Linked DNA regions of Kluyveromyces lactis. The protein of the gene in region 7 purifies or fractionates together with the protein of the main gene of each other region. This does not show direct contact. Links are inferred from orthologs where the notes say so. Each region holds a gene or a part of one and is shown on either strand. Other genes may lie near its edges. The genes, in order: BRX1, SPB4, FPR3, RRP15, RSA4, NOC2 and NOG1.

The links.
Region 1: the proteins of NOG1 (region 7) and BRX1 purify together in Saccharomyces cerevisiae (affinity purification with mass spectrometry; 5 studies listed by BioGRID). This does not show direct contact. The link is inferred for Kluyveromyces lactis from reciprocal best matches to the Saccharomyces cerevisiae genes NOG1 and BRX1.
Region 2: the proteins of NOG1 (region 7) and SPB4 purify together in Saccharomyces cerevisiae (affinity purification with mass spectrometry; 8 studies listed by BioGRID). This does not show direct contact. The link is inferred for Kluyveromyces lactis from reciprocal best matches to the Saccharomyces cerevisiae genes NOG1 and SPB4.
Region 3: the proteins of NOG1 (region 7) and FPR3 purify together in Saccharomyces cerevisiae (affinity purification with mass spectrometry; 3 studies listed by BioGRID). This does not show direct contact. The link is inferred for Kluyveromyces lactis from reciprocal best matches to the Saccharomyces cerevisiae genes NOG1 and FPR3.
Region 4: the proteins of NOG1 (region 7) and RRP15 purify together in Saccharomyces cerevisiae (affinity purification with mass spectrometry; 3 studies listed by BioGRID). This does not show direct contact. The link is inferred for Kluyveromyces lactis from reciprocal best matches to the Saccharomyces cerevisiae genes NOG1 and RRP15.
Region 5: the proteins of NOG1 (region 7) and RSA4 purify together in Saccharomyces cerevisiae (affinity purification with mass spectrometry; 4 studies listed by BioGRID, with this or other methods). This does not show direct contact. The link is inferred for Kluyveromyces lactis from reciprocal best matches to the Saccharomyces cerevisiae genes NOG1 and RSA4.
Region 6: the proteins of NOG1 (region 7) and NOC2 purify together in Saccharomyces cerevisiae (affinity purification with mass spectrometry; 8 studies listed by BioGRID, with this or other methods). This does not show direct contact. The link is inferred for Kluyveromyces lactis from reciprocal best matches to the Saccharomyces cerevisiae genes NOG1 and NOC2.

Annotation. Positions count from the first base shown.
Region 1 is NC_006041.1:1,577,371-1,580,873, reverse strand, and holds BRX1 (ribosome biogenesis protein BRX1), read right to left. Parts: upstream 2,141-3,503; coding exon 1,244-2,140; downstream 1-1,243. Other genes in the region: MDM20 (Mdm20p), read left to right, coding at 2,753-3,503. UniProt on the Saccharomyces cerevisiae protein: Required for biogenesis of the 60S ribosomal subunit.
Region 2 is NC_006041.1:1,267,321-1,271,889, forward strand, and holds SPB4 (ATP-dependent RNA helicase SPB4), read left to right. Parts: upstream 1-1,580; coding exon 1,581-3,371; downstream 3,372-4,569. Other genes in the region: pseudouridine synthase DEG1, read right to left, coding at 1-1,200; ULA1 (Ula1p), read right to left, coding at 3,398-4,569. UniProt on the Saccharomyces cerevisiae protein: ATP-binding RNA helicase involved in the biogenesis of 60S ribosomal subunits. Binds 90S pre-ribosomal particles and dissociates from pre-60S ribosomal particles after processing of 27SB pre-rRNA.
Region 3 is NC_006038.1:420,839-424,819, forward strand, and holds FPR3 (peptidylprolyl isomerase FPR3), read right to left. Parts: upstream 1,993-3,981; coding exon 736-1,992; downstream 1-735. Other genes in the region: RPL6A (60S ribosomal protein eL6), read right to left, coding at 2,568-3,086, 3,774-3,782. UniProt on the Saccharomyces cerevisiae protein: Proline isomerase that belongs to an abundant class of enzymes that catalyze the cis-trans isomerization of X-Pro peptide bonds and can accelerate the refolding of proline-containing polypeptides. Specifically binds nuclear localization sequences.
Region 4 is NC_006038.1:956,517-960,081, forward strand, and holds RRP15 (rRNA-processing protein RRP15), read right to left. Parts: upstream 1,889-3,565; coding exon 1,127-1,888; downstream 1-1,126. Other genes in the region: PPT1 (protein serine/threonine phosphatase), read left to right, coding at 1-970; KAR3 (Kar3p), read left to right, coding at 2,469-3,565. UniProt on the Saccharomyces cerevisiae protein: Constituent of pre-60S ribosomal particles. Required for large subunit rRNA maturation, in particular processing of the 27S pre-rRNA at the A3 and B1 sites to yield 5.8S and 25S rRNA.
Region 5 is NC_006039.1:747,633-752,066, reverse strand, and holds RSA4 (Rsa4p), read right to left. Parts: upstream 2,331-4,434; coding exon 783-2,330; downstream 1-782. Other genes in the region: IMG2 (mitochondrial 54S ribosomal protein mL49), read right to left, coding at 1-496; mitogen-activated protein kinase kinase kinase SSK2, read right to left, coding at 2,858-4,434. UniProt on the Saccharomyces cerevisiae protein: Involved in ribosome biogenesis. Required for processing and efficient intra-nuclear transport of pre-60S ribosomal subunits.
Region 6 is NC_006042.1:101,771-106,723, forward strand, and holds NOC2 (mRNA-binding ribosome synthesis protein NOC2), read right to left. Parts: upstream 3,134-4,953; coding exon 995-3,133; downstream 1-994. Other genes in the region: MEI5 (Mei5p), read right to left, coding at 73-729; GEP3 (Gep3p), read left to right, coding at 3,399-4,953. UniProt on the Saccharomyces cerevisiae protein: Involved in the intranuclear transport of ribosomal precursors.
Region 7 is NC_006041.1:2,149,992-2,154,615, forward strand, and holds NOG1 (putative GTPase NOG1), read right to left. Parts: upstream 2,700-4,624; coding exon 768-2,699; downstream 1-767. Other genes in the region: Sec63 complex subunit SEC62, read left to right, coding at 3,320-4,060; FZO1 (mitofusin), read left to right, coding at 4,461-4,624. UniProt on the Saccharomyces cerevisiae protein: Involved in the biogenesis of the 60S ribosomal subunit.

The DNA.
Region 1 (3,503 bases), about 570 kb from region 7:
TCACGTGATATTCACGTGAATGGCCGTTTTCTAATCTTTTTCACCTTCCGCGTCATCTTAGAAAGCATGCTCGAAGAGCCATGAAAATGTCAAGAATAACTCACCTTCTAAGAGCCGTTGAATTGTCGTATTGAGACCATTATGTGTCCATTCTATTGTCTTCCGTATCCAGTTGACAGAATTCAGCAGTAAACATACGTTAAACTGTGTGTACTCTCTGGTTTTTACCAGTTTTATACGAGCTGCTCTTACATGATTGGTCCAGTAAACTGTGTGAGGTGTATGGGTGTGTTGAAGAATATGCTACGTCTGTTTCTGAGCGATTTACTCTTAAAAAGCGTGTAAAGCAGGATTTCCTTTCTCAAAGCTGAAAAATTTCAAAGTTTCGAATTCTTCTCACTAGAAAGAACAAGGCGGTTTTGAGCGAACTTTTGCACTGGATCAGATGCGTTATTAGTGGTATCCTATACACCTTTGTTCGAGATTCACTCTGTTAGAATATAGACCAAGAAAATAATTTGATATACGATGAGTGCTGCATACACAATTTTGGGTAGAACTGTTCAACCACATCAATTGGCCCTAGGGACTTTAGGTGCTGTATTATTGTTGGTTATTCCAAACCCATTCAAGTCTAAGCAACCAGCCAAGCCATTATACTCTACTTCCTCTAAGGGTGAGGAAGATTTCATCAAGGCTTACTTGGAAAAGCATACTGCCAACGCTGAAAAGCACTAAAGATAAAAGTCAGGACATTTTTACTTCCTTATTAATTCTACCCACTTGACTGTTCAATTCACGTTTCCTGAAAATTATACAGTATGATTTGTTATTACTACGCATAACATCTTCGTATTTGGGGAATAGAAGAATGCAATGGCATTGGGCAAGTAAAATATTAATAAATCTATTAAAATTCAAACAAATGATAAAAAAAACATTTCAAACAGCACACTGTGGTTCACACCAAATGTAAAAACGTTTTCCCCATGACGTTTCATGACGCTTCAAGTTTAACTGGTATTCTGGCCCCCCAAGTTAACTAAATAAATTAAATATTCATGTACGACTTTAACGTATAGTATAGTTAGGAATAAAACGAAAAATTATATTATCAAAAACAGCCCATTCAAAAGCATATATATAGGAGTATACATATGTACAAGTCTGAGCAGGAAGAACGCCGTTCTCCTAAGTTGACAATATATAAATCATGATTTTTTCTAGAGTTCTGGATTGTACTTTAATCTTTGAACAATGCATCGTTGGATAATGGATCTACAGCCAAGACACTTTCTCTCTTCTTTAGTTTCCTTTCAACAGCAGCTTCGGCTCTGGTCTTAGCTTCCTTGGCAGCCTGTTGTTTAATTTGAGATCTAACGAAGTTTGGCGATACGTATTGTCTGTTTTCGTAGATCTTTGGACCACCAAATGAACCTTCAAGGATCAAAATCGGTGTCATCACGAAACGTGGGCCAATTTCAACTAACGACGTTTCATCTTCTTCTTTATCCTCATATTCAACGTTGTTCCTAGCTTCATGCGAGATCTCATACGTTCTTACCCAGATCTTTTCGTCAACTATACTGAAAGACATGATATGGTCAATGAATGGCTTGGACTTTCTAGCTTGAGGTGGTACACCGAAGTTATGGATAAAAAGTTCTTTAATTAAACGGTAGTGCGGTTCAGAATCAAATCTACCATCAAATGACAATATTGGTCTGGATCCCTTCAAACAGTTGCCAGTGAAGTTTAATTCGTCCATGGTATGTAGGTTCTGCAAATAAAACTTGATTGTTGGTCCATTTGGTGGCTTTGATAGCCATAGGTACAAATCCTGGTGCTTTCTAGCTTCAAAGAATATAATGTTATTACAGTTGTACAATTCCGCAATCTCATTCAATTGTCCTAGATCCTTCTTCGTGTCCAACTTAGGTTCCTTTCTCGAATGTGGTAGAAGACTGTTCAAATCCTGAACCAAATGACGATGTCTATAAGTAACACCTCTGGACGTAATAAGTAAGGTACGTTGCTTATTCATGAACTGTTTCTCATTACTGTCACTGTTAGCCGCATTATTTTTGTTCTTCTTACCGTCTTTATCCTTACGAGACAAAGTCTTGAAAATACTCGACATTATAGAAGGATTTGCTTAGCAGTTCTTGGCTTTTTCTTCCTTCCAACTACTCAAGTGTAATACAATAATCTCAAAGTGTTTAGACCGACGATGTATAGATTGGAAGGATCAGGACAACCTTGTTCAATACCTCTTCTCATCTCATCTCATCTCATCTCATCTCATCTCATCGCCTTTTCTAACTTTTCAAAAATTTTCAATGTACCGAAAAAGAAACTAAGGCTCATCAGTGATGATTTAAAATAGAAAAGGATAGTTTCTCGAAAAGAAAATGTTCGTATCGTCTGCCAACTGGCTTCTATCAGATTCAACGCGGGTGGGGATTGTATGGTGAGGTCTTGCGTTTATATTTCAAGCAGTAAGAGCGCTGATGCCCTTGTTAGGCTGTGCCGTTTACATTTATGGATACACATACAGTTATAGTTTATTATCCGGGTAATCAAGACTGAAAAATTACGATATTGGCTTAATTCAGCATTCAAACTTCTAATGAACAACCTCATACGCACGTCGTTCGTAGAACAACCCGGTATGTCTGGCAGTAACGGTGTTCGTTGCTGTTTGATCTGTTAGATTTGATATCGACCAACACGAAGAGTGGAAACTGTTGATATGAACTCTGAAGATCATCAGCTTTTTCAGCTATTAGATAGGGAACTGTTTAAGAAAGCTTCACAGTTTGTTGCATCATTGCAGAAACGGTACCCATCCGCCACTTATTACAAAGTGTTAGAGCAATATGTCAAGTACAGGCAATCTCCTGCGAAATATAGTTTTGAAAATGGGTTAAAGTTGATCTTGGATGCCAAATCTCCTCCAAGCGATGCGAAATCGCTATCAATGTGCCATCGATTTTTGTTGGAATTAGGTTTTGACACCACCAGTGCATTGGAACCTTATGAAAGAGCAATGATGAAATACGGTAATTCGGAGACATGTTATGATTGGTTCTTGGAGTCATTGAGGGATTTAAATTGGAGACATTTGAGTAAGAGTAGTTTCCAGATGCCACGAGTCAATGAAAAATCGAAATCGAGATTGTTCCAATTCTGGAACAGTATTGCTACTGTAGTATGGTTTCAGTTGGATAAAGATAACATTAACGAAAGGGAATTGGATCTTTTACCTAAGTTGACATATAAATTGACAAGCGATTTGAAACCTTTTGAGAATGAGCAAGAGTTGATCGTTTTCTGTAAAGTTTGTGAATTGTTTGAGGATAAATCACAGGAGATCGTGGACGAGATCCTCAAGTTTTGGAAACATGGTACTTACTTAGACCTTTATTTGAAAAACTTCCTTATGGGCCATTTGGTGAAATTAGACGATTATAAACTCATTTGGAAACATGGAATCTCGTTAT
Region 2 (4,569 bases), about 880 kb from region 7:
TTTATTCTTAATAGTGGCTCTTGGTAGATTATCCTTGAATATTTTGGCCACTGAAGCCTTTAATCTATAGTTCAATTCTACAGAATTTACAACCGACGAGGAGCGCGATGCCTTATCAGTCGTTTGATCAGGTACTATCCACTCCATCGGCGAAAACTCACATTCGTAAAGAATTAGAGGAATATCGCTAGCCATTTCGTAAATTGGTTTTCTGGGCATCTTTTCTATATCCAACATTTCTTTGATTAGATTGGGATCTTCAAGACCTTGGCCAACGAGAAATAGATTAGCCACCATACACCTCACTTGATGCCACAAGAAAGCTGAACCTACCAAGTCAAAGCAGTACATGTCTTCGCTGACGTGCATGATATTTGAACTTTTAATTGTCCTCTTATAATTTGTAATCTGTTTTGAACCATCTAATTTGCAAAAGTTTCTGAAATCATGCTCACCTTCATAGTGTTTGGCTGCCAGTTGCATCCTTTCAAGATCCAAACCCTCTGAGCTGAACAAGTATTTGTAATGTCGACTTTTACAGCTGAATCTGGCATCAAAACCTTTTGGTGGCCGTAGGCAAACTGCAGATACTCTGATATCTTCTGGTAAAATCTGGTTTAAAATATTAACATATTGAATCTCCTTGTCGTCATAGCTGGGATCAAGCTGCTCTTCTGCAGTGAGATTCGAACGAACTCTCAATGAAATTACTTGATTCATGGCACTAACGCCTCTGTCTGTTCTTCCACATCTACTAAACTTATATTCTTGAGGAACCATGGACGGAACAAGTTTGCATTTATTCATGGTCTCTAATATCGTACCCTCGACAGTAGGTAAAGGAGTCGCATCTTTTTGAATTGCCAATCCGTTATAGTTCCATCCCAAATAAGCAAACTTGAAGGCGACAAACCGTGTGTTGTATTTGGAGAAGTCGAATTCCCTTGATTTCCTAGGTTTCTTGACGTTCTTTCTTCTCTCTGCTTCAACAGCAGCGTCCGCAGATCGCTTTTTTACCTCAGCCACGGTATCTGAGTTATTTCCTTTAGCATCACTACCATTTTCACTAGTATTTTCCAGCTGTAGCAATCGCTCAATCAACTGTTCCCTGGTCCAATTCTTATAAGCAGACTGGTCAGTGGACATTGCTGACACAGTGCCTTTACCATCTAGTTTGAAAAGTTTTGATAAAAATCCCATCCCAGTATATGTAGTCTTGAAAGAATTATATCACAAGGCTAATATAACTTCATAGAAGTTTAACAAATAGATCATATCAAACAAATTTGAATACAAATTGTTATGAATGGAACAACCATCGAGAACAACGCCGCATCAATGCCAATCAGCATTAAATGCAAGTTTGTACAGATTTAATGGAATTTTTTTTCTTTTCTATTGGGATGGCAGCTGGAAAGAAAAAAAATAAGTTCAAGCTCATCTCATCTCATCGGGAAAATGTATCCAGATTAAATCAGTGTGAACATATGCATACATTTGAAATCCAGGAGTAAGATTTGACCAACAAGGTATAAACTCACCACTCCAAAGCCTAGTCTAAAGTTTCGAACTGATACAAAATGTCGAAGTCGTTATCGTGGGACGATTTGAAATGCGAGATACAACCATGGATTAGAACGGCTATAGAATCGATGGGGTTTGAGACCATGACGCCAGTTCAAGCCTCAACTATTCCGTTGTTCTCTGGTAACAAGGATGTCGTGGTAGAATCTGTTACAGGATCTGGTAAGACTATAGCGTTCGTGATTCCAATTTTAGAAAGGTTGATAAAAGAAGAAGCCAATTCGGCCAAATTCAAGAAATCACATTTCCATTCGTTAATCATTTCACCAACCAGGGAATTAGCCAGTCAGATTCATGATGTGATAGAAGACTTTCTGAAGTATTATCCAGATAATCTGTACCCAATACGGTCGCAATTACTCGTCGGAACAAGTAGCGCTAGTGTTCGAGACGATATCAATAGTTTTACAGATAACAGACCCCAAATACTAGTTGGTACTCCTGGGAGAGTCCTAGATTTTTTGCAGAAGACTAATGTAAAGACTGCTTCCTGTGGTACCGTCGTGTTAGATGAAGCTGATAAGTTATTGGATTTGAATTTCCAGAAAGATGTAGAAACCATTTTAAAGATGTTGCCGAAGCAAAGAAGAACAGGGTTGTTTTCGGCAACAATCGAAAGTGCGGGTGCGCAAATCTTCAAAACAGGTATGAGAAATCCAGTGAAAGTTGCTGTGAAGTCTAACTCGAGCGCACCTTCATCTCTTTCGATAAACTATATCGTCATTCCACCTAAGGATAAATTACAACTATTGTTGACTCTACTCAACAACTACAGATTCAAGAAATGCATAGTTTACTTCCCGACATGTATCTCGGTCACATATTTTTACGCATTCATAAACCATTTGAAAGAGCTTAATTTGATTCAGGATGATCTAAAACTCTTCTCACTACACGGAAAGCTACAGACGCAATCGAGAATGAAGACGCTTGACAGTTTCACTTCTAACTTGACCGATGCCGTACTATTCACCACAGATGTTGCTGCTAGAGGGATAGACATACCAGATGTTGATCTAGTTATCCAACTTGATCCACCAACAGATGCAGATATATTCATTCACAGATGTGGTAGAACAGGTAGGGCTAATAGGATTGGTAAGGCACTTGTGTTTTTAAATGAAGGTAGAGAAGAAGATTACGTACCATTCCTGGAAGTGAAAAACGTCAAACTAGAAGAAGAATCTGTGGAACTGAAAGGCGTAGAGAATCTAACCAAAATATTCCACGATTGGATTTTACACGATAGAGCAAGATTCGATCACAGCGTAAGAGCATACGTTGCATTTATAAAATACTACTCAAAGCATACTGCATCATCGATCTTCAGATTCCACTCCATGGATTTCATCGGCGTTGCGAACTTTTACGGGTTGTTACGTCTGCCACGTATGCCCGAAATAACCAGGTATGCTGCCGACCAAATTCCGGAGGAAGGTTGGTTGGTATCACCACCAGTGAATTTAGACACATTTGCTTACTTAGATAAACAAAAGGAGAAGGCGAGGTTACAAGAATTACAAAACCTCAAGCAAATAAGCGATAAAAAGAAACTGAAAAGTGAGCTAAAGAAGAAGAACATGGCATGGTCCGATAAGACACTAACTAAAGAAGCCAAAGCTGAAAGAAGAGCAGCTATGGCCATCAAGAGGAAGGCAATTGAAGAGAAACTTCTGCGGGGCGATGAGGAATCAGAAGATGAAGTTGAGCAAGACTGGAAAGACCTTGTAAGACAAAACAAGAAAAAGAAGCATAACTCCATGCAAGGAAGTTTCGATGATTTATAGTCAATTACATATCGTAGATAAATCTATTATAATATAAATGTGCTTGTTTCATTCGAGTCCCCGTCATATAACAATGTGTTTTCAACCGGTACATATTGATGTGTCAATAATTTCACGCATTCTTGTGATACCATTGCACCAAGAATTGATGCCATCGCAGGGCTGACAAACGTTGTATCATGTCTATCGTTTTGTAGCGATAGCAACTTATTGAACTTCGGTTTTTCACTTATAGTTCTAGTTGCCGATGAGAGGCTACCCATTTTAATTGCATCCAAATGTTTTAAGTTCTCGAGCATTTTATCTATGAGTGGTTCAGGTATCAAACTATAATTCTCCTTTGCTAGAATGCGCATGATTTCTGATTTATCCTTGGCAGCTTTACGTTGATATACTGCTTTCTGCGCGTTGAATAGTTTAGTTGAGGATTCCATATCTGGAATGAATGCGGACACAGGTAAATCGCCTCTCAAATCGTAAAATATTCTGATGCATCGTACAAATTGGTATACCCATCGATTAATTGTAGAATTAGGTTCAGCATGAAAACTATTCAAGATGTTGGTCAAATTGTGAGGAAATGGTCCTGATTGATCGTATAACAGGAATGAGGACCTCTCTGCTTCCACAAAGTTCAAATCATTGGTCAAGGGTCCAGAGAGTATAGAATCGTGAAGTTCGATGAACTCTGCCCTCACTGATTTTCTATTGATAGGAATATTCTTTGACTTTAATGATTTTCCCACATTGTACAGTAGAACGGAATAAGGCAAGGAGGATACCTCTTCCTGTGACATATTTTTTACATCGAATGATTCGTGATATTCTGCTAGTTCAGGCCACATACGATTGAGTCTTAAATCGAAAGTGAAATGTCCATGAGAATCAATGACACAATGAGGTTCACTGCCTATAAGACGAACAAATCCCAAGTTATCGTTGGTGGATGCCATTATCAGAGGAACTGCTGAGAGTTTCATGACACGTTGTAACAACGGACCAGCCGTGCACAAACATATGACAATAGAGAAAGAGTTCCATAACTTATGTTGTGAATCAATTGGAACTGCATTCTCGTTCCAAATATGGAACGTAACATCTGGATTCATACTTTCTAACGCATCAAAACCTAAAATATCCGAGTTTGACTTGTTCACAAAATCTGATCCATTAGACGAGCCAAAAACTACAGTAATCT
Region 3 (3,981 bases), on a different chromosome or scaffold from region 7:
TGGTTGTAGGAAAAGCTCTGACGCGATAAAATGTTTCGACTCGGCTGCTGGGTATGAATAGATTAGCCACGAGCACTAAATTAGTAAGTAGCAGAGAATTACACCTAATTTTTCTTTTTTTTTGTATTTTATAAGTAACGTGACCTAATACTGTTATGTCACCTAGATATTCCAGTTTATTGTTCAGTTCGATATGTTACACTGGTAACTACTGACGTCGACTGTTCCAGTTAGAGATTAACTATGTGCACAATTGGAGCGGGTTTTTTGTTCCCTTCCTTTATTGTTTTTGTTTGCTGTTTTAATCTTCAGCGGCTAGCTCACAAAAATTTCCTGTTTCAGAATAGAATTATTACAAATTGCACGCAAAACGGTAGTTATAGTCTCTTTCAATTAACCTTCAGTTCACTAATCGCCTTAACAGGTTGCAGTCAATAAGGATGTAAATCAGAATGTCCGTAAATTATTGTTGTTTGACCAACTTCTGGTGTCTTCGTCCTTTCCTTCTCCTTAAAATGTGGTTTGTTTTAGGGCTAGTTTAGTTTCAAGTTCGTTGAGATTTTATAAAAAATGAGAAGTAAGCCTATCTAAGATATCAAAACCAAGAAATTTGTGAGTGAGAGCATTTTCTCCATTGGGAACGTCAACTGTCACCTTTCAGAATGTTATTTTTTTGATTTAAAGTAAGTATTTATGAAGGAGTAATATGTATGCCGATTATATATCCTTTTCCATTTATTTCAAAGAGACCAACTTAACGTCGAAAGTCAATTCGGAGTTAGCTGGAATACCTGGAAGAGCTTGTTTACCGTACGCATATGGAGCAGGGATGACGATTCTACGTTCACCACCGACGGCCATACCGGCAACACCGATATCCCAACCTTTGATGACTTCACCACGGCCCAAGTTGAAAACGAATGGTTTACCGCTGGTGTTCTTGTCAAAGACCTTACCATTCTTTAGCTTACCAATGTATCTCATACCGACCTTGGAGCCCTTCTTGCAAGCCTTACCCTTACCAGTGACACGGTCTTCGATGATGATACCACCTTCAAGCACCTTGGTCTTTGGCTTTTCTTTCTTTTCTTCCTTCTTTTCTTCTTTCTTGGTTGGTCCTTCTTCTAGGTCTTTCTTGAATTCAACCTTCTTTTCTTTCTTAGCCTTCTTGTTCTTTTTAGTTTCTTCAACTAGCTTTTGTTCCTCTTCCTCTTCCTCTTCCTCTTCCTCTTCCTCTTCTGGTTCTGGTTGCTTTCTCTTGTTGTTCTTCTTAGACTTAGATTGTTCTTTTTCGACAAGCTCTTGGATCTTAGCTTCAACGTCGCTAGCATCTTCTAACTCTTCCAGATCAGCTTCTTCATCCGGGGTTAGATAGTCGTCTTCATCTTCATCGTAGCTTTCATCGTCTTCTTCATCGTCATCTTCGTCATCGTAACCTGGTGCATCGAATGGGTGCTTGACATAGTTACCGGTTAGAGAAACACGGTAAGAACCAGTAACAATGAATTGAACTTCTTCTTCTGGAGCAATTACAATATCCAAAGATTGTTGATATTGAGTCTTTGGTGACAAAGTCGCTAGGACGAATTCTTGGAATTCGTCATCGGTGTCAATTTCGATAAGTTCTTCATCGCCTTCATCTTCATCTTCCTCTTCCTCTTCCTCTTCCTCTTCTTGCTTCTTGGACTTACCCTTACCCTTACCCTTCTTAGACTTTGACTTTTCCTCCTCTTCTTCTTCCTCTTCGGAAATGTCTAATTCATCTTCGTCGTAATCACCCAACAAACCACCAGCATCATCTTCATCGTCGTAGTCTGGGTTTCTCTTGATAATTCTCAAAGTAGATGGGTTCTTCTCATCATCCAAAGCTTCTGGATCGATAGCAGCCATGGTGATACGCACGGTAACAGGCGTGGTAACATCAATGGCCGGGGTTGGAGTGTATGGCTCGATGTTCAAATTGTAAGCAGCTAAAGGTAATAGGTCAGACATTGTTATGCTATTCAGTTAGAATGAGAGTTTTCTTAATCTGTGGGTATATGTCTACAAAAAAATATACGAACTAAACCTCTATGAAAAAGGTTCTTCCACTCAAGAAGACTCTACCTAATGTAATTCATCTCATCTCATCTCTCTTATATGGCGTCCATCTCTTATTTCTTTCACAACCTTAACTATTCCAAATTCTGAAAATTTTCCAAAAGAAACGAACTTTATGTAGAGAAGATTCGACGTTTCTTTTCTGCACGTGATGAGTTTTATCGACCTCCGCTTAGGGTACAAGACATATTGAAATACATCGTTCGAAAGGGTCGTCAGACAGGGTACACACGTTGGTTATAGTGTTAACTGGTGTGTCTGCAAAACAGTCATGAATATATAGCAGAGACTCTTAGGCAAAAGTAGTTCAAACCAATTGTTACAATCAATTGTCCTTATAGAATAAGGTTGTGGGGATGACGACGTTGCAAACACTAGAAAGGGATTTAATACACCCTTAAGATATAAAAGTTATGTTAATATTATATAACAAAGTAGCTTAAAGTTTTGAATTGTTTTTCGCTTTCTTAGAATTTCAACAAGTGAGGTCTGTCACCGTTCTTCAAAGAGAAAGTAGCAGCCAAGTATTGCTTCAACAATGGGGTCTTCTTGATTTCAGCCAACAAAGCCTTATCGATGTTCTTTTGGTCTTCGATTCTTTCAGCCTTGATTTCCTTCTTTGGTTGGTCTTCGTTGAAGAAGTTGGCTTCAGCTCTTTGCTTTCTTGACAACTTTTCTCTGGAGAAGTAAGCGACGTTGAACTTTTCAGTGTTAACACCTTCCAAGGAGACTCTGGTAGAGGTAGCAATGACGTAACGAGCGTTGACTCTTCTCAATGGAACACCGTTAACCTTGAATGGACCGGAAACCAACAAGGTGTTGTCTTCCAAGTGCTTCAAGTAGACAACTCTCTTACCTCTGAAACGACCAGCCAACAAAATCAAGACGGTACCTGGGACCAAGGAGGCACGCAACTTTTGTGGTCTAGCGGCCTTTCTGGTTTGCTTTGGAGCTGGGACTTCTTCAGCTGGATACCACTTTTGAGCCTGTATTGAAAATTGAATTGAAAAATTCGTTGTTAGTAAAACTGAAAACAATATTTTATCGAGTTATGCCCGTGTATAGAGAAGGAAACCCACAGTTTCAATTCCATTATCTCACATGAGTTCGGCTGTATGTAACAAAACTAAGAGTAATGGATGAAAACATGTTAACTTCTTCTCCATAAAATAGGCAATAACGAAAAACCCATAGAAAATATTAAAAGAACAGGAGATGGATTAGCATGATGTTAGTCATCTATGATACAAATATCCATAAACCAACACTGAATATTTAAAGTATCACATATTTTTATTTCTTATAGTTCCGACCGTATATTTCTTCCAGTCTGCGAACCTTGGTTTGTGTACTTGTTTAAATTGTTCCCATAATTCTCAGTCGTGAGATCCGTTAAATATATTCCTTTATCTCATGAATCCAGTTATCATATGAAGTCTCTTCCTGCAATCGTTAAAACTTCGAATTAAGATATCCCACTTGTACATTACTGGAATCGAACAGCATCTGGTCCAGACTGTTCTCATTTATGCTATGGTGTTAATTCATTCATTACATTTTATATTGCCAATAGATGTCGCCAATTACTATATTTCGTCGTCATGATCGCTGAGTCAATCCTTTTCTTTCGTAATTTCTCCAGGGTATGGATATAGCACTTGTTTCCCACATACTTGAGCCATCTTGTTGATATATCTGTGTGCTTGATGTTCTTGCTATATGATTATATAGAATACAAATGTTACTTTACATTCATATACCGAATTTCAATACTTTTTTGTTTAGTGAAATGAATCGAAACTTCGATTCCAACACAAACTACTAGTGAGAGAAGGAGCGATCGAGGGACCGGTCAGAATTTCCCAGTGAAGGAGATTCCGG
Region 4 (3,565 bases), on a different chromosome or scaffold from region 7:
GAACCAGGAATTCATTTCTTATATGATTAATGAGATTTTCCTAGAAGGTAAAAAGCTTCCAAAGGCTTACGTTGCAGCGATCATTTCTCATGCAGACTATTTGTTCAAGCAAGAAAACAGTGTTGTTGAACTTGATAACAGAGAAAAGCCGGATACAAGAATTTCTGTATGTGGTGACACGCATGGTCAATTTTATGATGTTCTGAACATCTTCAAAAGTTATGGGAAAGTAGGCGGCTCCAATGTATATTTATTCAATGGTGATTTCGTAGACCGTGGATCATGGTCTTGTGAAGTGGCCATTTTATTCTATTCTTTGAAAATCGTGTATCCACAGAACATTTACTTGAACAGAGGTAATCATGAAACCAACAGCATGAATAAAGTGTACGGGTTTGAAGACGAATGCAAATACAAGTACTCCCAGCGCATTTTCGATCTTTTCTCACAAAGCTTCGAATCTCTACCATTAGCCACTGTCATCAATAGTTCATACCTGGTCGTGCATGGTGGTTTGCCAAGTGATACTTCTGCCACTGTAGAAGATATGAAGAAAATTGATAGATTCCACCAACCACCAAGAGAGGGAACATTTATGGAGTTATTATGGGCGGATCCACAGGCTCCGGATGGATTTGGACCATCTCCTCGTGGCTTAAGTAATGCGTTTGGGCCTGACATTACTAGAAAGTTCTTGAAACAGAATAATTTAAAGCGAATCTTCAGGTCTCATGAAGTTAGACAAGGCGGTTACGAATTTGAGCATGAGAATCAATTGGTCACTGTTTTCAGTGCTCCTAACTACTGTGACGCCGGTGGCAACCTCGGTGCAATCATTCATGTTGTTCCAAACACAAAATCTGAAAAGAAATCATCTATCGACAGCGACTTGGTAATAGAAACTTTCTCTGCTTCACCACATCCAGATATTAAACCAATGGCATATTCAAATGGAGGGTTAGGATTTTGATCCCTCATCTGACCTGATCTGATCTTTTTTCGATAAAGTTGTAATTAATAATATTATTAGTCTATTATACAGTCTTTGGGATTACCTATATATGTACATAGTTTTGCGCTTTAATAAATGCAGATGATTCCCTCTATCATATAGAACTTCCTCTTTTCAACTGTCACCAGCAGTTTTCACCAAATCAAAGAACTTCTCCTTGGAAACCTCCGTTATCAACTCTTTTCTCTCTGAACGGTTCTTCACACCACCCAATGAGTCATTGATTTCCTTTTCAGTCTTAACCTGAGTAGAGAGAATTGCATTGAATAACTTCACAACACCTTTCTGGGCAATCTTTCTTAGTTTACGTTCCTTCTCAAGAATTTCTCTAATTTCATCCGAGTTTGCGTCTGCAGCCACAACAGGTATAATATCTTTCTTTCTAGTCTTATTGAGTAGTTGTTTCTTCTCTGTGAGTATAGCTCTCTTAGCCTTTTGCTCTAACTTATCTGCTTCATTTTGCTTTAAAACTTTCTTATTCCTAGCCATAATGGGATCTTTACGGTCGTATGCTTTCAAATGCGATGATAAAATATTGGTTAACGCGCTGGAAAATGTGGATGATCCATCATCGTGTTTGGATTTGGAAGACTTCTTCTTTCTTGGGAAGTCATCGTCATCTGGTTGGTTCACCACATCTTCATCGTCACTGTCTTCATCACTGGCGTCATCACTCGACACTTCATTTAGATCCATTTCATCGTTATCTATTTCGGAACCTGTACTGCCTTCAGAATCCACATCAGAATCTACTTCATCAGCCAATTGTGATACTTCATTCTCTTTGACTTTCGTTTGAGCCCTGATCTTTGCAGACTTGTCATTCAACTTGCTCTTTTTGGTGACAGGTATTGTCACTTTACCCTTGCTACTCATAGTATTTTCAGGCGGCTATACAATACAAAGCTGTCCACTGCACAATCTACCGGCAAGTTAACCTTCTATTGAGATAGTGTGAATTCAATGATGGATCCTAAAGGCCCAGATACAGTCTTGAAAGCGATGAGATGAGTTGTGCTTCACTGAAATTTTTTTTGGCATGTTCACTAACAAAAAGAAATACATTCTATCAACACACCCATACACCACTGCAAATTTGACGTTGGTGGAGCCGCCGTCATAAGAAACTTGAAGCTGAACTCTCTTACTAGCCTGTGGTTCCCCGACTGTTGGGTTTATTGGAGTGTGGTGTATCTGTAATGGTTCCTCTACTTGTTCAAGCTACCCAAAGAAGGTTTGTTGTGTACTGAAGCCGGTTCAGTTTCGAAATATGTCACATATACTAGTAAAGATGTAAACAAATAATAAGATCAACCGAAAACAAAACAATCTTGAAACACCAAAGGAGACATAGCAATTGAAGAACGTATATAAACCAGTACCGCTTTGGAAAAGACGTGTAATAAGGTAGTGGGTTTGACTAAATTAAACTGGTTGGCTGATAATCAAACGGAATATGAATGGACCGCCGTCAACGCCAGAAAGATGTTCATCGAAGGACGGTTCTAATATACCTTCTCCAACCCAGCAGGGTTCAAGTTCACCAAAATACAAACCAAGGCAGTCGATAAGATTGAATCCAGAAGATGTACAGAGTATAAACAGAAGAAGGTCTCTCACGCCCAGTACTGAAAATAGAAGCTCAACTCATATGACATTCTTTTACAAAGAAAACCTGAAAGAACTGAATAGATTGCAAGAAGAGTTGTCCAGAAAAAAGATCAAGTTGAATACCGCACAGGATGAGATGAACTCGTTGAAAAGCAAAGTGGAAACTGTAGAGTTCAAAATGAACAATTTGAAAGAGGAGAAACAAGTGAAAGTACGACAAATCGGGTTAAAGCAGAATGAATTGAATAGCATGGATCAAGATCATGAATTGAAGTTAGAGTTTATGAGAAACGGATTTGATCTAGAAATAAAGAAGATAGAGGGAAAATACCACTGTGAAATGAATGAAACAGAGTCGAAATTCAAATTTGAAGTGCAGCAGATTGAATTTGAAAAGATTCAAAAGTTTAAACAAGAAAAGGAACATTTATTGAAGGACATACATAACTTAAACGATGAGGTAAATAATAATGACAATGTCATTAACCAATTAAAGGAAGAACTTGATAAGAAATACTCAAATCTTAAAGAGAAGTGGATGGTAGAGTTTCAGACGGAATGGAAGAATATCACAGAAGCTAATCAGTCCATGATTAAGGATATCAACAAGTTAAGTCAAGATATAGAAAATGACATGACTAATGAATTGGATCAATCTAAAGACAAACGTAACATTTTAGAAAAGGAGCTAGCAAAATTGGAAGAGAAGCTTAATGAGAAGAATGTATTCAAGGAATCTATTACTGTGCAAATAGACACTGTCGAAGAAGAAATAGAGCAAACTATCAGTCAACGGAAAGAACTCAATGAGTATATCACTAATTCCAAAAACGAACTTTTACAAATCAATGAAATACTGATAAAAGAGGAGACAATGCGTCGTAAGCTTCATAATGAACTACAGGAGCTGCGAGGAAATATCAGAGTATACTGTAGAATAAG
Region 5 (4,434 bases), on a different chromosome or scaffold from region 7:
TGGCATCACCTTCAATGATAATTTTATTTGATTGAAGTATCACCTTCCAGTACTTCTTTGGAATGAAAGGAAGCCTTTCTTGTAGATCGTTTCTTAGCTGCACAGGATCCCCTTGAATCTTTCTGATTTCGGTGACAATCTTATTGCTGTTTTTGTAGTCAGTGTACACAGGTAAATTTCCGTTAATACTTCTTTGAATGAAATATGTTTTCTTCCCAAATGGAGCGGCTCCCACTACTTCCTCGGGGCTTACGTCTTCAAGTTTTGGGAATACTGTAAAAGGACTTTGACTGTCAAATAAAGCACTGAGTTCGGCACTTTCGGCATCAGATAATGGTCCCAATTTGTCCATTTCTGATTTAAGTTCATTTAAAAGCTCAATTTCTGAGTTTTCCTGTTGTTGTGGTTGCTGTGCTTGGGTTGATTGTAGTCTAGTACAAATCCGAAATGATCTTGGGCTCATAGCCGCAAAACTTCTTGTAACTCTTGTAAGCATTATTAACTAGCCGTTGTATTATTAGTAGGCTGTTGTGTGGTTATGCAGGTTTTCCCGGTGTACACCTTTCTTACTATATAGATAACTTATCGATTTCCTATGGTAAATGCCGGCTGAATCGTTCTTCATCTTTTCAACTATGCTTGAAGCTTTAATTTTTCAAAATTTTCAGCTTGTAAGAAGAAGGGACACCTGTGCACCTCATAATAAATGTAAAAGAAGCTATAACATACATAAGGCAGTCTATAATTTAATCATGCTAATTATTCAGATGCAGTGGATCCACTCAATGAGTCCATATCCTGACCATTTTATCTTTCCCACCGCTACATACACGTTTACCGTCTACAGACCAATCTACAGTGTAGACTTCATCTTGATGACCGGGTAGATCGACGGACAGTTTTCTAGTTTTGACATCCCAGACTTTTAAAGTGGTATCTTTGGAACAAGAAACGAGTAGTCTACAGTCGCTTGACCAAGCTACTTGGTAGACACTCGCTACATGTCCTCTAAAGGTGGATAGGAATTTACCATCCCTTCCATCCCATAATTTAATGGAGTTGTCAAAGGATGCAGAAACAATGTAACGGCCATCTGGCGAAAATGCAACGTGGTTGACGAGCTTTTGGTGGCCGGTCATTCTGGTAATAGGTTTAGTAGACTTCAAGGGGTTCCACAGATACATAGTAAAATCGTCACTGGCAGTTACCATCAGTTCTTCGAAGTCACCTTTTCTTTTAGCAACTTTTTCGTAATTTTTCAGAGCCTTCTGTTGGGCTTCTTCAGGTGAAGCAGGAGTTTCGCCCTTGTGATCGAACGCACCGAGTCTTAATGCATAATCTGTTGAAAGTGAAAGATGATTAACCCAATGGGCGTGTGATTTTAGGATATTGATACATTTACCGTTCAAATTCATGTCCCAGCATCTGATTGTTTTATCGTGAGAACCACTGTATAGAACATTTTTTCCACCCCACTTGACACAGGAAACAGAAGACGTATGGCCACATAAGGTTAAAAGGCAAACTCTTCTTGTTGTATCCCAGATTTTGATAGTTCCATCCTTGGATGCAGTTGCTAATCTCGGTTTGTCACCAGGTTTGACAAGATGGATTGGTTCCCAAGATAAGGAGGTAATCCATTTCGAGTGACCTCTTAAAGCATCACCATAAGGCTTACCTTTGCTTGATTCCCATAATCTAATTGTGTTGTCCATAGAACCTGTGGCGATTAATTCACCATCTGGAGACCAGGAACAACATAGGACCCAGTTGTGATGGCCTTGTAACGTGCACATACGCGTTTGAGTGTCACAATCCCAGATACATGCAGTATTGTCACCAGCACCGGTAACCATCCTGGAGCTTGTATTTGGAGCAAATGCAGAACACAAAATTGTCGAGCCATGACCAGCAATTGCAGAAGACGACCGAGTTACTGGTTTTACTTTGAAGATAGCTCTTGGGGTATACACTAGAGTCAAAAAATCTTCGGTAGTTTTCAAACCTGGTTTTAAAATGGATTGATATAGATTATCTCTAATATCTACCATTTCCTCATCTGCATCCTTCTTTTTGTTGCTAACTAAACAGCTAAACGTGTATGGAACAGGATCTGCCGAGTCTCCATTTAACTGATTCAACAATTCCTCCAGTTGCTGCTCCGAAATACCACCTGGAACCCTTAGAGAACCTCCAACAGTTTCACCACTGTCAAAAGCTTGGAATTTAATGAGAACATTTGGAAGGTCTTTGGGAATAAGGTCAACTCCACGTTCAGCTTGAGCTTCTCTTCTTTGCTTCTTTGAAGGCGGTGGGAGTAAGGTTGCCATGTTTCGTTTGGATTGCTTGGCCTAACAAATTCAGAGAATTATTTTGGGCTCGTTTAATTACCTAAAAACTTCTTTCGAGAAAAGACCTGTGATTATTGCTGGAATACTAATATCGTTCACCAGAACCTTCTCCTTTTTAGGGAAGTCGACTTGGTAGTTGAAGCTCATCTCATCTCATCTCATCGGCATCTCAAAAGATTTTCTTGAACTTAAGAATTTCTTTTAGTTCACCACTTCCGGGTAATATAAATCTTTATTATGTTGAAACTATGCTCTGAATACCTTATGGGGAGCATCAGGCACAAAAAATTCCTAGACTGCAATTTACTTACTGGCAAGCAACTCACAGATAACGGAAAGTGCATGTTACATTGATACTATACGGATCCGGCATTGTTTAAAAAAAAGTCAAACAAAAGTTCCTATTATTATTATATATACATACAATACTTATACAAAAAAAAAATCTATGGTTACAATTGTTACATATGATCGTCATGGGGAGGAAACTTTTATGTCTATCAGAACTAGTTATGAGTTTCATTATTAAAAGATTCTGCATTGCCACCAAATGCAATGTTACGTATTTGAGAAATCCAGGGATCAAGTAACAATTCCATTGCAGTTGCTCTTTTATTGGCATCTTGTATTAAGCATCTGCTTATGAACTTTCTACCCGCAGATGAAATTTCAGACTTGGTTGGGAATTGCGGAAGGTGACCAGCTGCAACATGATACATGATAGCCCATTCATTGTCTAAGTTAGCCCATGGACGTCTACCGGTCACCATTTCCAGTACAACACAACCTAAAGACCATATATCATCGGATCCGAATTTTCCGTGTCCTTGACCAGTCACCGTTTCTGGTGCCATATACATCGGTGTTCCGATCATATCTTTCCCGCCTGTAGATTTGTTATTGGCATCCAGTGATATCCTCTTTGATCCGTTCTTTGCAATGAGTTTTGCGGCACCAAAATCTACATATTTGATAACGCCATTACGATCCAATAAGATATTCTCCGGTTTGATATCTCTGTGCACAACTCCAGATTGGTGCAAACATGCCAATCCCTCAAGTAATTGTAGTGTGTAAACTTGAGTTACCATTTCATCTTCAATCCGGCCATGTTCGAGTAAACTGGCTAAGGAGGAACCCTCGCAGAATTCCATAAAGATATTAACCTTGTCTCTGTGAACTTCCACACCATAGTACTGAACAATATTCGGGTGATTTAAGATCTCCATGACGCGCATTTCTTCTTTGAGAGATGGGAAAATTTGCTTCATGGATTTAGCATCTTGGATTTTGATCTCTTTTACCGCTAAAATATCACCAGTATCTAGGTTAACAGCGGAATATACAGTACCAAAGCTACCACTTCCGATAAAGCTACGCTTTTGCCATCTAATAGAAAGGTTAGATATTGAAGAAGCAAGAGATTTCAACAATTTGCTTTGATTATCGGTATCATCAATAACTTTACCAACAGAATAATGCCTTTTGACTTTGACAACCTTTTCCATATCTGTTATTGCATTCATACGCATCTCTGAATTAACAGCCAAAATCATATCATCGTCAGCATCATCGATATCAAAGTTTGGTCTTGTTTGTTGAGCATCAATCCTTTCAGCTTCTCTGGATCTTGCCCCTGTGATGTCGAAGTGAGATATTAACAATGACATACATCTAGCAATCTTCTCTTTCAACAACTTGAATTCCTTCTCCTCAATCCCCAAAATATTCCATCCGTTGGTCATACGCATAGCAAATTCCATTGCTGGGACACACCATCTAAATGTTTCTGGATTGGCCGGATCACATTCATCAAGAACAAAAGTTAACCAGTCTATGCTGATCTGAATCATAAGGCGAATAATAATTGCCTTAGTTTCCGGTGTAGCGACATTTAATAGAAGGAAGTTTTTTGCAAAATCTTTCACGAACAAGTATGCTATGTTGAAAAAGACACTCTCGTTAGTCTGTAAAGTGACATTCTTCTGTACGCTGCCGAAGTTTTTCAATACAATATACGTCATCCTGAAGTAGGATTTATTGATACGTTGAAGAGCCGTCTCAATGCTGTTGATAGCACATT
Region 6 (4,953 bases), on a different chromosome or scaffold from region 7:
TTCTGACGATTCTAGTAGTAACATTATTTATTCAGTATTACTTATAAAGCATCATTTTCACTTGAATTTTCATTATTGATTAGTATATACCATATCATAGTCAACTTTTAGTTTAGCCGCTAGCTCCTGCAAAGTCATTTCATCATTATCTTCTTTCCTTAGTTCATTCTCAAATTTCTGGAGTTCGTTCTGTTTCATTTCTTCTGCTTCTCTCACTTTCTCATCCATCCGTTCCCTGATTTCTTCCTTTTCTTCAATTGGCAAATGAAAGAAGTCCGGAGATTCCAAGATCTCTTCCATTTGTTGTTGAATGCCGTCATCGTATTGATACTCAACTTGGCGCTTTCTTGCCTCTATTTCTTTCCGCTTATACTCTTGATAACCGCCCATTCGATCAATTTTAACCAATATGGTATTCAACATGTAAGACATCCCACATTGACATATAGACCTCCATTTATTTATTAATTCGATAGTCTTGAGTTCGTTGTCGTAAGTTTGCATTATTTTCACTGCCCTTTTCAAAGCAAACTCTTTCTTCGTAAGATCTCGTATTTGTCGATCAAGATCGTTCTCTAACCTCCGGATCTCCTTTAAAAGTAACACACTACCCGTAGATCTTTCTTCAGGGTTTCTGCAAGATAACTTGGGCAAGATATCACTAAATGAATCATTCTCTTGAACTAAGGTTGTTTCACTATCACCTTCAAAATTCATGACATTCGACATAACGCCTGTAATGAGTACTGGTATAAGAATTATTCCACTTGGTCAAGTTATGCCTACCGCAGATTGTACTCCCGAGCTTTGTATTCTGAATGTAATGTTGAGTATACATGTTTAAAATAATTTACATAATGTAATTTCTATTTTCATGAAATTTACCGCCGATGTCTTTGACAAGGAGGCAATCCAATATAAGATGGTCGAAGACATAGGATTACCAATGAATTTAAAATTGAAGAAAGTTTGAACTTATCATACAATCATTTGATTATTCATCTGCTTCAGATTCAGCATCATCCATTACTATGTCTTGGGCTCCGTCAGAAATATTTTCTTCTTCTTCATCATCGTCAGATTCCAAGGATTCTCTTAAGAGTCTGGCCTTTTCTTCCTTAACCTCATTTTGGATAGCAACCCAGGAACCAAGAGGAGTATCTTTCCACGATATTTCATTTAAGAATTTTTCTACTTCTGTTCTGTTGTTTGGTCCGAAGTCTACATCTGATCTCTTCTTTGTAATGAATTGAGCGTTTTGGTTGATTTTATCTACCACGTTTTGCAACATCTTGTTAAACTTTACATTCTCAGAATTCTTGATATAACGACGTAATGAGATAACGGCAAGCGTTGTTAATTCTGGGAATGAAACGCTTCTGGAGTATAGAACAAAGTACTCACCTAGCAAATCTACAAATTGCTCAGCTAGCCCGTCTTGGTATATTTTTGTCCCCAAGTATGCTTGTGTACACTTGATGTTATGATCAAAGTCAAATGCAGGTAACGTTGACTTTCTAGGTTTCTTTGTGAATGCAGTAGAGGAGAGAATCTCAGATAATAATGGGTAAACTGGAATGAAGATACCAGTGTTTTGAGATAATCTGATCAAGGATCTGATCAAATAAAATCTCAATGGGAAAAATTGTGCTGTTGGAATCAATCTAATGACACCAATGGTAACTTGGACTAGTGGGTAAATCAATTGTCTAAGAGGGGATTCGTGGCCGTTTTCCTTTTCTGGGTTACATTGGATGGATATAACACGAGACCAGAAGTCCAAAGAGTGACAGAACTGCCAGTTATATACAATCTTGTAAGCACTTGATGGGTCCACCTTTGAGGACCTCTTAGTTGTGGCATTGATACTGTTTCTCAAGTGAATGGCTAGTTGTCTGATATATTCGAAACCCGATTGATAACTTATAACGTCATCAATACCGAAAAGTTCAGCAGCAGAGTTCTTTTGGAAATTGATTAGAGGCATGTTTCTGATGTTAGTTTTACGACAACTTTTAATGAAAGTAGAATACGTGGACTTCAATACAACTTCTAATAAAGCTTTCTTATATTCACGAGAGGCATTGTTCAAAAACGCGAATGTGGCAATTTGAGTTTCAACGTCTCCAGTAGTGGACCAAACTTCGACGACTTGAGAAATTAATTCTTTTAGTAATCTTCTAAATGAAATAAAGTATGGTAATAGCTCATAGGTAGAATGCAAAATCATTGAAGCGACGTCTGTGTTTGTGATGTCACTTAGGAGAACGATAAGAGATGGAACGTGCGATTTCAAAACAGAGGACAATTTTGTAACATTTTTATTTGATGGGAGAGTTCTGGTTTCATTCTTACTGACCCTATAAGGTGTCAATTTTTGGACGGCTTTTGGCATATCCACAAGGGCAACGAACATTAACTCGTGGAAGGCTTTTTCATCAAGAACTGTGAACTTGTAATCGTCTACATTTTCCTCGTTGTTCATGTTCACAGCAGCTTTAAAAGCTGAAACCACACTTCTGATAGTTTTGAAAGATGGGCTATTTTTTAAATCCTTCTTCCATTTATTTACGAGCTTTATGTCGACGGCAATTTTGCTATCTTTTTCCTCCTTCTTGGACTTTGATAAATCAGGTTCTTTCAGTTCTTCTTCTTCACCCACTTGCCCTTCTTCGTCATCTGATATTTCATCTAGAGGATTGGTAGATTTGAAAGACAAAAGATCTGGTTCGTTCTCTGCCAAATATTTGTAGAAATCAGGATCCTTCTTTGCCAAATCTTCCATATCCATTTTAACATCTTCATCTTCTTCGGCAGAAGACTCTGAATCATTATCTTTCACCTTTGATGCTTTTTCGGTTTCTTTAGCCATTTTCTTTGACATTTTTGGAATATCGAACCCATTGTCGAAGAACTCTTCAACCTTCATGTCGTTGAAGACTTCTTCCTTAGCGGACTTCTTCAACTTTTGATCTTCTTTGGTCAACGCAGCTGCATTCTTTTCTTCTTCTGTCTTATTACCCCTACGACCGGCGGTTCTCTTAGAATGATCTTTTAACTTCTTTCTATGGTCCAACGTATGCTTCAAGTGTTTCGTCTGAAACTTTTTAGTAGCTTTTGAAACTTTACCCATTGTGTAATTCTTGATCCCTTTATCAATAGGTAACAGGTCCCAAGATTATGCCTTTGATCAACAATATGATTTCAAGAAGATTATCTAGAGCGACTACTGGTTAAGTTGTTAGAGCTGCGTTAAAGTTTCTCTATATCTCTTCTTGGGGCATCTCATCTCATCTCATCTCATCTCATCTCATCGGATTGAATTTTGGTTTGGATATTTGGAAAACTTTTCATGGCGTTTCTTTTTGTATCCGGGTAATGGCATCGCCTTGACATCGATGAATAGTGCAAGTAATATGGTAATTGACATGCTTGGAAAGGTATCGACAAAAGATGCAACAAACTGCAAACAGAATGTCGAGAGATGCAACAGTTTTGAGCCGTTATTGATAAGAGTACTGAGGTATATGCATCAGAAAATAGTAGTAGTATTACCTTTTATGAAATCACGGCTCCAAGCTTTTAAGCAGTTTACTCGGTTTGTATCATGCAAAAGCTGTGGTGTTGAGTTGCAATCCAAGAATCCTTCTGTGACAGGCTACTATAAGCCTCCTCGCGCTGTCAGGAAAGATGCTGGCACCATTGAAGATTTGAAGTATTTAATGTTCACACAAGAACTTCAGCTAAAAAAACATGAAATCGGGCTACTTGATCCAGACACCGATCCAGATTATAAAGAACCTATTCCCAAAAGATTGGTTTGTAAAAGATGTGTCGATGCTATAAGTCATAACAGGTACAACTCATCTGATTTTCCAATTCATTCTTTCAACGATATAAAGGGCGCTTTGCCGCATGCTGCAAACGTATACCACGTTGTGTCTTTGTCTGACTTTCCCTTGTCATTAGACAAAACTATCCTGGCAGAAAAGAATAATAGAAACTATTTACTACTTTCAAAGGCTGATCAGATCACATACAAGTCATCAATGCTACCACATAAAGGGAGTGCTTTTTTTGCGGAATTTTGTAGACGTCATATAGGCGTACATGTTAAGAAAGTAGTATTGTTCTCTAACCCAAGAAATTGGAATATTCCATCAGTGATAAATGCTTTGGCTAAAAGATGCTATTTATTGGGTAATCCTAACGTTGGGAAAACGTCTCTCATTAATTCTTTGCTCCATGAAAAATCAACAAGTTTCCAAGCTCAACTTGATAAGAGAGGCAACGTTATTGGTCCTCCAAAAGGCCACGAACAAATACAAAGTACTCGCCGTAGGGCCATCTTCAATGAAGGTGGAGTATCACATATTCCCAACTTTACCAGAACCATGCAAACTTATTTGATAGAAGATAAAGTTGTGAACGATTTACCAGGGTATACAATGGATCCTACTAAAGTATCCGATCTAGCGAATTATATCGAGAAGGAAACGCTTGATAACATAAGGAAAACCTCAAAGTTTAAGATTGATAAACTGATAAAACAAAATTACACCTCTTTGACGGGTTCAAAAACTGGTAAATGCCTGTCTTTTGGAGGAATTTTTCATCTTGTTCCACCAAATTCCACTATAAATCAGGTGGTTAATTACATTCCTCTTCCGGAGCATGAGTTTTCAAATGTCGAAAAGGCTGTTAGCTTATCTCTAGAGGTGCTACAGTCAGAAAATCATTCACTTCGCCAATTTTTTGCTCTCAAGAAACCATTTACTGACATTAAGATGTTTGATAGGCACGTAATTCCTCCATTTAATGGAGCAATCGAAATTGTTCTAAAAGATATCGGATATTTTCAAGTTAAACCTACTGGAAAATATGGTTTCAATGGTCTTTATGAACTCTGGGTCCCTAAAGGTATCAGGGTATGCATTAGAGAACCGTTATCAA
Region 7 (4,624 bases):
TTGCTCATTTTGTGACATCTTAAAACTGACACCGGGAATTTTTCTTCGAAAATCATACGAACACTTTTCAGACGGAAAGCACCTTTTACAATTGACATATACAAAGAGCATATATCGTTTTGTAGAGTTTTATTGGAGCTTTTATGTCACCCGTACTTTCAAGTGCTAAAATCTCATGGCTTATATGTTACTGAGAGTCAATTTTTTGTGAAAGAGGCCTACCTAGATGTGTGTTGTGAAGCCGTCCTTTTTTTTCTTGCCCTGTACTAAGGGCACATAGGAGAGAGAAAAAAAAAACTGTCGCCTGATAAACCGATAGAGAAATAATAGAGGCAATCAAATATAACTCAAGCAAAATGATGTTGGTCGACGGTTAAATATTCCAGGTATACTGAGATTGTTTTGGTGAAATATTTATGTCAGTGTTTCCTTTTTTTCTATTTTATTTAGATCCTACAATTTTCATCCTTTTTATTCTTCAAGATTAGTCAATAACTTTCAAAGATAAAATTGTTACTGAGGTCAGAGGGATGTTGGTTATTTGGTCAAGGAAAAGCAAATCAAAGGTATAACTCTTATAATTTTACAGAGTACGTAACTATTTTACAAATAAAGGAGTAATAATTAAATTTAACCCACCCAATGCAGACAAATAAATGAAAGTAGTGACTAATATATATAGTTCAATAGAGATAGAAAAGAAATTGGCAACACGATAATATATGTTCGAAATCACCAGTGATGGAAAGGAAGGAAGAACAGACAGTTTAACGGAAATCAGTCTTACCAACACCACGCTTACCTGAGAACAAATGTTTTGGTAGAGAGGCAGTAGCATGTCTGTCAGATTCACCGGCTCTGGCCATTCTGTTTCTTTCTCTTCTTTCTAATTTGGCCATTCTTTCAGCCTTCGATCTCATTGAACCATCAGCAACACCGTCTGTCAATCTATCTGTCTGTCTTAGCTTACCAGCTGGAGCAGAATCTTCTTGATCACCGTATACCACGTCAGCACCAGTTTGCTCATATCTGTTCTTTTCAGCAGCGACTCTTTGCTTATCTTGCAAAGCAGTCATATCGTGACCTAAAGAAGACATGTGCTTCTCCATGTCACCATATGTCTTTGCCAATTTAGAACGAGGCATGGTACCACGGTTCTTCAATGCCTTTCTGTTTCTTGAAGCATTGATCATCTTCTTTTGTCTATCTCTAATCCATTCTGCCTTTTCTCTGATCTCAGAGATTTCGTCAGCATCAAATCCTTCGTAAGTTTCTTCTTCGTCGGATTCATAGAAGCCTTCAGATTCTAATCTTTCTTCTTCTTCCTCTAAAGCTTGTAATTTGATTGCGATTTCTGGATCCAAGAAGTCATAAACGTTCTTACCATCTAAGATTTCTGGCATGACATCGTTCTTCCATTCATCGTCTTCCAATAGATACTTGTCCTTCAAATTAACGTTGTATACACCGGCCCCACCGTTTTCGATTTCAATTTCTTTAGCCAATTTTCTTCTGTTTGGATCTTCTGGATCATATTTCTTCATCTTAGCGATGGCTTCTGGAATATATGGAGTTCTGTCAATACCATCATCACGCTTTTGAGGTTGAGCGACGTGGATCTTGTTTAAGACGTTAGTGATTCTAGCTTGAGATTTTAGCTTGTTTTCAATTCTGGAAGCCAACAACTTTTCACAAGCCTTGTTTCTAACAGCCATAACGTTATCTTCTTCATGACAAGAAGTGGTCATGATTTCAACACCTGGAACTTCCAAAACAGTATCCAAAAGTTTCTTACGTTCTTCGTCTAAATCTTCAGGTTTAATGATATCAGTCTTGTTAATGACGACCATGACGGATTTATTGGCAAACAATGGTTTGATCGAATGGAATAATTTGACTTGAGCTTCAATAGAGAAACCACACTGTTCTGATAGATCCATGAAGTACATAACAGTAGAACGCAAATGAGCAATAGCATAAATGGATTGCATTTCGACGTTGTTCATTTCATCCGTAGGTCTATCCAAGATACCTGGAGTATCAATCGCTTGGAATCTCAAGTATTTATAATCAAAATGACCCACATATAGCGACTTGGTGGTGAAAGCATAAGGTTGCACTTCGACATCAGCCTTAGTGATACATCTCAAGAAAGAGGATTTACCCACATTTGGATAACCGCAAATCAACAAAGTTCTGGTGTTTGGGTCGATGGATGGCATTCTACCCAAATGTTGTCTAACTTGTTCCAAATACACTAAAGGATCCTTCAACTTCTTCACAATGGTAGCCATTCTACCAAGAGCGGCTCTCTTCAATTGTTTACATTGGAAAAGAGATTGACCGAATTTTAACAATCTTGTGTAATCTCTTTCAACTTGTTCGACCAATGTCTTAGCACGACTCACAGCAGCCAAAGAAACTTTGAAATGATTCTTTTCATACAAAGTATCCATCAAATCCCTATGGAAAGGATGCACGTCGTTAATATTAGGGAAACCTTTCAAAATATCATCAAATTTTTCCACGAACCCTTCACCGGTGAACTTCACCTTTCTCATGTAAAACGCTCTGATACGAGTGATATTGAAACCTGGTCTAATAACAGTAGGTGTCTTTCTTTGAGTTCTGTTCAACACAATGTCCAACAAGTCATTGGCAGGAGCCACGGTCGGAATATCTTTCCAGGATAATTGCATTGTTGCTTAATTGATTTGACGTAAACTTTGGGATACACGCACACACGGGGACAACAAAAAACAATTAAACTAGCAATAATGCAGTTAAGCTATGCTTAGTTGTTTGAACAAACTTCCAATCTATTCAAACTACCTGTCAAACGGATGTCACACTGATAATCAAGCTCTGTCTATCACTTCGAATGCACAATGAGATGAGATGAGATGAGATGAGCTTGCCGTTTGGAAAATTTTCCCACTACTGCAAACCTTTGAAAAGAAAAAAAAAATTGTGCTTTCAGGATTTCTTTTTCGTATGGATCTCAGAATTGACCGTTAAAGGCATACACATTGGTTATGTCACGTGACTAAAGCACTTTCTTTTGAGACTGTCGGGGTAACAATATATTTTACTGTTAAAATGTATGTGAACATTTTATTTACGGTTTACGTTTCAACTTTCAATATATACAGAAATATCAATGAGATTTTGATCTGAAAGAATACAGCTTGAGTCCAATCTCTAGATTCATTATAACTTTCTAATCACTACCTGATAATTGCCTAATTTCCGGTAGAATTGCCTTATCCGCCTTTTTTTTTTGAATTTTTCTCTTCAAATATAGATTTGTTTCGTTACTATGTCGGAACCAAGCCCACAATCTACGATAGCCATTGCCAATCTACTCAGGACTCATAGCGACTTGAAGCAAAGACAAGGATTGTTCCAATCGCGTTTAGTTGACTTCTTCCGTTATAAAAGATTTGTTAGAGCTTTGAAAAGTGATAAATATAAGGCAAAGTCCAAAAAACAACCCGAATTGTACCCCGCTGTGACAAGCGATGAAGATGCTCGTAACATTTTTGTTTCCTTAATCAAGGCCCAATTTGTCGTACCAGCGGTTAAATTACATTCTGCAGAATGTAAAGAACATGGTCTAAAGCCAAACAAATCATATCCAAACTTATTATTATCGAATAAAGCGACTCTACAACCAGATGAATATTACGTCTGGTCTTATAATCCAAAATCAATTTATGATTACTTGACTGTGATCGGTATCATAGTCGGTGTGCTAGCATTCGTGTGTTACCCATTATGGCCTCCATATATGAAACGTGGTACTTACTACTTATCCATTGCAGCATTGGCACTTATCGGTGTATTCTTTGGTATTGCAATTGTGAGATTGATAGTTTACTTGTTGTCATTAGCTGCAGTTAGCGAGAAGGGTGGGTTCTGGCTCTTCCCAAACTTGTTCGAAGATTGCGGTGTTATAGAAAGTTTCAAACCGCTATATGGATTTGGTGAAAAGGAATGCTATAGCTTCCTGAAGAAAGAAAAGAGAAAGCATAGATCAGTTGCAAAGAAGCAAAAATAACTTCAATGTAACGGACTTCCATCCCAGACTGTACATTAGCAATTTAACTATCACAGAAGGTGTATGTTCATTCTTTCGGTGAGAATCACATACTAATATCACATATAAACATACAAACATATATAAATATAGATATATGTACTCATACTAATATCAGTAGTGACATCTTTGGTTTCTGACACTAGAAATCACCTTCTTTTAAAGTTTTATTTTGCATGAATTGATTTAAGGTCAAGTAAGAAAATGAAAAACGCAGCAACAGTAATGAAAACAGTAATGAAAGCAGAAGTTGCAAACAGTTAGAAAAATAATGCCAACAGGATACCACTCGCTTCCAATCCTAGTATAGGTATTATAACTGAGCGAACGGCCGCACCACAATATTACAAACTTCTGCAACATGTCACAGAAGGAAATATCGCAGAATTCTAATAGAAGAAGCTCTAAATATGAAGATGAGTTGAGCAACGATGCCCCGTTTGAAATTTCATCACATCAGTTGGAGTCAAGTACAACTTTAACAGATGTTCAAATGAGTAACCTTCTACAAAGGCATTCTTCTCA